2 linked regions of the Saccharomyces cerevisiae S288C genome follow. The protein of the gene in region 1 purifies or fractionates together with the protein of each later gene. This does not show direct contact. Each region holds a gene or a part of one and is shown in the gene's direction. Other genes may lie near its edges. The genes, in order: MAF1 and RPC82.

Region 1 (3,928 bases):
AAACCATCATCAACCATATTTGCATTCTAATAATCCTCTCAGTTCAAACCCTCTTTCATTAAAGCGCGCAATTTTTTTAAATCAACAAATATCAGGTAACGCAAGCACTAACGCTAATAATGACAACATTAATAATTCCACTGCCACTTCAATGACAAATCAAAGCTTCCTATCAAGCTCAAACTTTGACTTAACTTTGGAAGATAGAATAAACTACATAAAGGCTACTCCAACGCCTGTTCCATTTCCTCCTATAAATTTGCAGGGCTTAAAAGAGATTGACTTACAGGAAATTCTGAAAAACCCACAACTAAGACATGATATAATATTCGACCCGCTACTACAATTCAGGCCAAATCTTGATGGCGAAAGAGGGAATAAAAAAAGACAATTGGCGAATATCTATTGGAATGATGTTCAAAATGAAATTTATGTTTACTCTAAGAGGCCTGAAATATTCCAATATAACAGGTCAAGACTAGTCCCACTTTTTGACACTTTAAGGGATGTATTGTTAACGATAGTCCCACAAAAAGAGTCTCCGATGATAAATAATGTACTGGACACAGAATTGAACATTCAAGAACTATTGAAAGGTTCTCTGATAATGTCTAACTTGTCAGGCTGGTTGGCTGATTTATTTAAACATCATTGTGCCCCCATGAGGGACCCATGGGTGGATAAAATGAGCAACAAATTTAAAGAAGCTGAAAGAGACTCTTCTTTAACAAGGTTAATAGAAGGTTTAAGGTTGGTTTTTCAAATTTTGGAAACAATGAAATTGGATATTGCCAATCATCAAATAAGAATACTAAGGCCAGCTCTGTTAAGTAATGCTGTAGAATTTGAGAAACAGTATTTCAACACTCTTATAGCCTCTAAAAGGGTGAATTTAAATACTTCCCTACTTTGGTTTGATAAAAAATTCAACGAAAATGTTACCGCTGGCCTTGTTAGAAATCCAAGTTCTATCACTATCCCTGATGTCTACAATATTTGCATTAGAAGTATAATTAACCTATTGTCATGTAGGAAGATGGTGAGAGAGTACCCAACTCCGCTTTCTTTTGATCATGCAAGATTGATCCTTTTGCGTGCCGATATACGTCAAATTGTTTGTATTTTAGTTTGCCGTTTACTTTTCCAACAATTGGTGGCCAACGATCCTTCAATGGATAAAGCTACAAAGGAATATGTTATTCATACATACTCAACTAAAAGGCTGAAGAATGAAATTATCAGCATTATAACAGATGAACACGGCAATTGTAGGTGGACTAAAAACACAATGTCTATTGCTGTTCATCTTTGCAAAGTTATTGACGATCTTCACAGGGAGTACGACAACAATGGTAGTTGTGAACAAGCCAGAAGGCCTCAATTGCCTTCATTAGACAACTCAAAAATAACCTTTGCTAAATCTTGGTTATCTAAGCAAACTCAACCCCTCAGTGAAGTTTATGGTGTCCTAGAAAATAGAGTATTCAAATCACTAGAGGACGCTATCTTCAACAGGTCCGAGTGCACAATTGATGGACGCGTTAAACAAGACTTTGTGTACCTCTACAACACAAACAATGGCAACGTAGGTAGCACTAACACTTTGAGTACTACTACAGATACTGCTAGCGTTAAAATCAGCCCGTCTTTGATGTCTCCTTCTAAAACCTCCACCACCACACCTACTGGCAATGCGATTGCATCCAGAGGTTTATTCGCAGCAACAGAGCTGGAGGAATTCGAGAATGTTTATCGCCACTTATATGCATTAATCAACCTTCATTGGTCCGTATTCGGTCCTCATTATATCGAAATGTTAGGAGATAAAGTTAATAAAAAAGGAATATAACTATTATCGGTAATGGAGGAAAAAAAAATTTTTTTACCATTTCTTTATGTAACTTCATATATCATTTTTAAAGCGTACATTTCTTATAATTTCACTTCTTAAATGCAGTCACATATTTACTGCTATCAGACAAAGTAAAGCGTCGCTAATTACTTGCCTCCACGAGTTGCTTGTCAATCAGGGGCGCTTCATCTCGCCAGCGAAAGCGCGTTGTCCATCTTATTTAACAAGAGAAAAAAAAGATAATTCAACTTAAAAAGAACGTGCTATCAGCTATATAAAATGTAGACACATTATGTATCAGTGTTTCTTTAGCAATGCGAAAAATATAGGCTTAGTGTCATTTACTTAAAGTTTAGAAACTCTGCACACTTCACCAAGAACAAGTTTAACCGCTCATTACTCCAAACGGATTTTTTTGCCTAAAGAATCACGACAATGAAAGTATGTTATCACTCTAAAACTGCCATGCTCTTTATTCGAAATTACTAACATTGTACCTGAACCCTCCTTTTCTTCCTTAGTTTATTGATGAGCTAGATATAGAGAGAGTGAATCAAACTCTCAATTTCGAGACAAATGACTGTAAAATCGTGGGCAGTTGCGATATTTTCACAACAAAGGCGGTTGCATCAGATAGAAAATTATATAAAACTATTGATCAGCATTTGGATACTATTTTACAGGAAAATGAGAATTACAATGCTACCCTTCAGCAACAGCTAGCTGCTCCCGAAACAAACCAATCACCCTGCTCGTCGCCATTTTATTCTAATAGGAGGGATAGCAACTCTTTTTGGGAGCAAAAGAGAAGAATATCTTTTAGTGAATACAATAGCAATAATAACACTAACAACAGTAATGGCAATAGCAGTAATAACAATAACTATTCTGGACCTAATGGTTCTTCTCCAGCAACTTTTCCCAAAAGTGCCAAGCTAAATGACCAAAATTTAAAAGAATTAGTCTCGAATTACGATTCTGGCTCTATGAGCTCATCGTCTCTTGATTCTTCTTCTAAGAATGATGAGAGGATAAGAAGAAGGAGCAGTAGCAGTATTAGCAGTTTCAAAAGTGGTAAATCATCGAACAATAATTACAGTTCTGGTACAGCAACCAACAATGTTAACAAAAGAAGAAAATCTTCGATAAACGAAAGGCCAAGCAATTTAAGTTTGGGTCCGTTTGGTCCCATAAACGAACCGTCAAGCCGCAAAATATTTGCTTATCTGATTGCTATCCTCAACGCTTCTTATCCTGACCATGATTTTTCATCGGTTGAGCCAACGGATTTTGTCAAAACATCATTGAAAACTTTTATTTCCAAATTTGAAAACACCTTATATTCTCTTGGTAGACAACCAGAGGAATGGGTCTGGGAGGTAATTAATTCTCACATGACTCTTTCTGATTGCGTCCTTTTTCAATATTCACCTTCAAACTCTTTTTTGGAAGATGAGCCTGGCTATCTTTGGAATCTTATAGGTTTTCTTTACAACAGGAAAAGGAAAAGAGTGGCTTACCTTTACTTGATTTGCTCGCGTCTAAATTCGAGTACAGGCGAAGTGGAAGATGCCTTGGCAAAAAAACCTCAGGGAAAGCTTATAATAGATGATGGCTCAAATGAATACGAAGGAGAATACGATTTCACTTATGATGAGAATGTAATAGATGATAAATCAGATCAAGAAGAATCCCTACAGTAGTTTTAAACTTTAATTTGTGAATTTTCCTTGTCTTACACCTATAATCGTTAAAAACAGTCCCTTTATGTCTACTATTGTAAGTTTCTATTTTTAAAAAAATACCCTTTTCAACTATGTACCTTTATGACAATATTATATTTACTAATTGAACACTTTAGCGAGGATTGAATAATGTGCGCTACTATATAAAAAGACTGCCTTCATCATATATTACTGCAAAGCTCTTAGTTTCTTTCGAATACGGAACTTCAATCAGGCTGTTTCTATTCCTCGCTTAGTAATTTGATATGCAATTTGACCAGGCTTAGCGAATGTGGAATATACCACTTTCATTGTCCTCTTAACTTGCCAGAAGCTTGCCGAATCACCTCCC
Region 2 (3,928 bases), on another chromosome or scaffold:
ATCGTGGTTCCGTCATGCCCATACTAGCTGGGAGATCTCCGCCTACGGTGCTTTTGCGGTGATGTTCGGCGGAGTGCATCGCGCATAAGCAAACAACCGTTTATTTCAGCCTTGCGTGCTTGAAAATACAGGACCGTTAAATATGTAGATATGTACGCAGAGGCGTGTAAGCCACACAGCATTGTTGTTGCGTAAAAATGAGGGTGAATCGCCTCCTCAAATTACATGCCTTTCTTTTTTTGCCAGGATCGTGAGATGAGACATAAAATAACGTACCACTGAAACTTGACAGAATTGAGGGGTCTAACTATAAACCTGCGGCAAAAGAAGGATTGTATGCTGAAGTAGAAAAAAGGATAATTAAATATATATTTACTAGTATAGTAAGAATTTGGAAAGGGTAAGGAATAAATAATGAGGGATTTTTTTTTGGTCTTACATGTTGTTATTTGAATTTTGTTTGTTTTTATTTTCAATATTTGTGTGAATATTCATTAAAAAAAAGGTGCGCGGCAACATCTATATATATATTTGCCTTTAGTTTTTCGTTTTGTACAAATACTTTCCTCTTACAATTCGTCCAAATATGGCAAGTTGGAAACATCACCGACGGCTACATAGTTGAATTTTCCCAACTTAAAGTCCTTCACGGCGTCAAAATTTAGTTCAATTGGGCTGGAAACAGATTCATTTTGGACGGCATTCTTTAACTTTGTGTAATTTATTGCAGGGGATAAGTCCTTGCCCTTCTTCAAATCCGCAACAATTTTCTTGATGTTGGAAGATACCACGGCGCTGTCCTGGTCTCTTACAAACAGAGTAAATAGGCCGCCGTCAGTGAATTTATCAAGTTTAGCCGAGCTGATTAAACCGGAAAGCTCGGATAGGGCAGAGGTCAAATAGTTGGCCAATACTTCATATTGAGCTAGGGAGGCTTTGTTTACCGGGATACCAATGGCGGCAACGGAGTCACCGATAAACCTTACCCTGTTTTCTTCACCCAAAAAGAATTTTGGTTCGGATTTACTCACCAATGACTTACCTGCAGGCAAAGTGCTTAACAGTGACTCGTCAACAAATCTTTTCAAATCGGCCTCAACAACATTTTCACCGCTAACTTCAAGGTTCTCCTTGGTATAGACTTTGTCCGCAAAGTCCTTGATATCTTGCAAACTGACTCTTTCCACACCATCGTATAACAATGGGTTTCCTAAACCCTTTCTGAATGTAATGGCATACAATTGGTCTTCGGCGCTCTTTACCGGACATTGTTCAGCGACCGCATAATCGTATCTAGCAGCAGGCAAAACAGATTCGGTGAGCTCGTGAGGTTTGAAGGCAGTCTTGTATAGCACGTCTGCTAGGGCATTGACGTAGTAGGGAAGGTCGTCCTTCAAAAAGGTAGCTTTCAAAGTGATGTATTCCCTATCCAAGGTAGACTTAAAAGTTCCCCCTAATAATTCGGATTCTCTGACTAATTTCAAAGCTGATCTAGTGTTCGTGTTTTGAAAGTTGAATCTGTTTAAAAGATGGGCCACACCATCCTTGGTTGCATAACGAGACCCTCCATGGACCTTAACAGCCAATGTAGATATTTTAGTAGGTGCGTCTCTAGCGGAAACGGTCAACCTTCTAACTGACCCCTGGGCAAATTGCAATCTAGCTGCTGACAACATCAACGTTCTTCTTTTTTCCTTTTAATAATTTTAACTCTCCCGTCCTAATCGTTCGAGCACACTGCTGTTAAAAACCTTATTAACTTCTAAAACTTCGTCAGCAAACGCTCTGAGGAAAGGCCCTTGTTCTTTATATATATATTTGGTAGGCTAACGGATATAAGACGGGGCGGGCCTTCTATTGGTTCGTTGGGAATGATCAGAAATTTTTCAAAAGCTCATCGCATTGAAGGAAAAAAATAATTTTGGATCAAAATAATAATAGTGGAAGAAATATTGAGAACAATAGAGAATTGCTGACACAGGAATAGGGAAAAATTTTTGTTGAGCAAGATCCAAATGGACGAGTTACTGGGAGAAGCGCTTAGTGCAGAGAACCAAACAGGTGAGAGCACTGTCGAATCTGAGAAGTTGGTCACCCCCGAAGATGTTATGACCATATCATCCTTGGAACAGAGAACCTTGAATCCCGATTTGTTTCTTTACAAAGAGTTGGTGAAGGCACATCTGGGTGAAAGAGCAGCTTCTGTAATTGGGATGTTGGTTGCGCTGGGCAGATTGAGTGTGCGCGAGTTAGTGGAGAAAATAGATGGTATGGATGTAGACAGCGTCAAGACGACACTAGTCTCATTAACTCAATTAAGGTGTGTTAAGTACCTGCAAGAAACAGCAATATCCGGGAAAAAAACGACTTATTATTACTATAACGAGGAAGGGATACACATTTTACTCTACTCAGGGTTGATTATTGACGAAATTATTACGCAAATGCGTGTAAACGACGAAGAGGAGCATAAACAGCTGGTGGCTGAAATTGTACAAAACGTTATATCATTAGGGTCCTTAACAGTGGAAGATTATCTAAGTAGTGTCACGTCAGATTCCATGAAGTACACCATTTCATCACTATTCGTGCAACTGTGTGAAATGGGATATCTTATTCAAATATCAAAATTGCATTATACCCCAATCGAAGATCTCTGGCAATTTTTATATGAAAAACATTACAAAAATATTCCCAGAAACTCCCCGTTGTCCGATTTGAAGAAAAGATCCCAAGCCAAGATGAATGCGAAAACTGATTTTGCCAAAATCATAAATAAACCAAATGAGCTTTCACAAATCTTAACGGTTGATCCAAAGACCTCATTGAGGATTGTTAAACCTACAGTCTCTCTGACGATTAATTTGGATAGATTTATGAAAGGTAGAAGATCTAAACAATTGATTAACTTGGCCAAGACAAGAGTCGGCTCCGTCACAGCTCAAGTTTACAAAATTGCATTAAGACTCACAGAGCAAAAGTCTCCTAAAATTAGAGATCCACTAACTCAAACTGGGCTTTTACAAGATTTGGAGGAAGCAAAATCGTTTCAAGACGAAGCCGAACTTGTTGAGGAGAAGACACCAGGGCTTACCTTTAATGCTATTGACTTGGCAAGACATCTCCCCGCAGAATTGGACTTGCGTGGAAGCTTATTATCTAGAAAGCCCTCTGACAATAAAAAGCGTTCTGGCTCAAACGCTGCTGCATCATTACCCAGTAAAAAATTAAAAACCGAAGATGGATTTGTGATCCCGGCGCTACCTGCTGCTGTTTCCAAATCTCTTCAAGAAAGTGGAGATACACAAGAAGAAGACGAAGAGGAGGAGGATTTGGATGCAGACACTGAGGATCCTCACTCAGCTTCTTTGATAAATAGTCATTTAAAAATCCTAGCATCATCAAATTTCCCCTTTTTGAACGAAACCAAACCAGGTGTTTACTATGTTCCATATAGCAAACTAATGCCAGTATTAAAGTCATCTGTTTATGAGTATGTTATCGCGTCTACGTTGGGACCCTCAGCAATGCGTTTAAGCCGTTGTATTCGTGATAACAAGCTGGTGTCTGAGAAAATTATCAACTCAACTGCGTTAATGAAGGAAAAGGATATAAGATCTACATTAGCATCTTTAATTAGATACAATTCTGTGGAAATCCAGGAAGTTCCAAGAACAGCCGATAGATCAGCATCAAGGGCAGTTTTTTTGTTTAGATGCAAAGAAACGCATTCCTATAATTTCATGAGACAAAACTTGGAATGGAATATGGCAAATTTACTTTTTAAAAAGGAGAAATTAAAGCAAGAAAACTCTACATTATTAAAAAAGGCAAATAGAGATGATGTTAAAGGAAGAGAGAACGAACTACTATTACCAAGCGAATTGAATCAATTAAAGATGGTCAATGAAAGAGAGCTAAATGTTTT

The links.
Region 2: the proteins of MAF1 (region 1) and RPC82 purify together in Saccharomyces cerevisiae (affinity purification with western blotting; 7 studies listed by BioGRID, with this or other methods). This does not show direct contact.

The regions. Positions count from the first base shown.
Region 1 is NC_001136.10:456,463-460,390, reverse strand, and holds MAF1 (RNA polymerase III-inhibiting protein MAF1), read left to right. Parts: upstream 1-2,287; coding exon 2,288-2,293; intron 2,294-2,373; coding exon 2,374-3,555; downstream 3,556-3,928. Other genes in the region: SOK1 (Sok1p), read left to right, coding at 1-1,849; putative DNA-dependent ATPase RAD57, read right to left, coding at 3,808-3,928. UniProt on the Saccharomyces cerevisiae protein: Mediator of diverse signals that repress RNA polymerase III transcription. Inhibits the de novo assembly of TFIIIB onto DNA.
Region 2 is NC_001148.4:917,129-921,056, reverse strand, and holds the start of RPC82 (DNA-directed RNA polymerase III subunit C82), read left to right. Parts: upstream 1-2,015; coding exon 2,016-3,928. Other genes in the region: QCR2 (ubiquinol--cytochrome-c reductase subunit 2), read right to left, coding at 570-1,676. UniProt on the Saccharomyces cerevisiae protein: DNA-dependent RNA polymerase catalyzes the transcription of DNA into RNA using the four ribonucleoside triphosphates as substrates. Specific core component of RNA polymerase III which synthesizes small RNAs, such as 5S rRNA and tRNAs.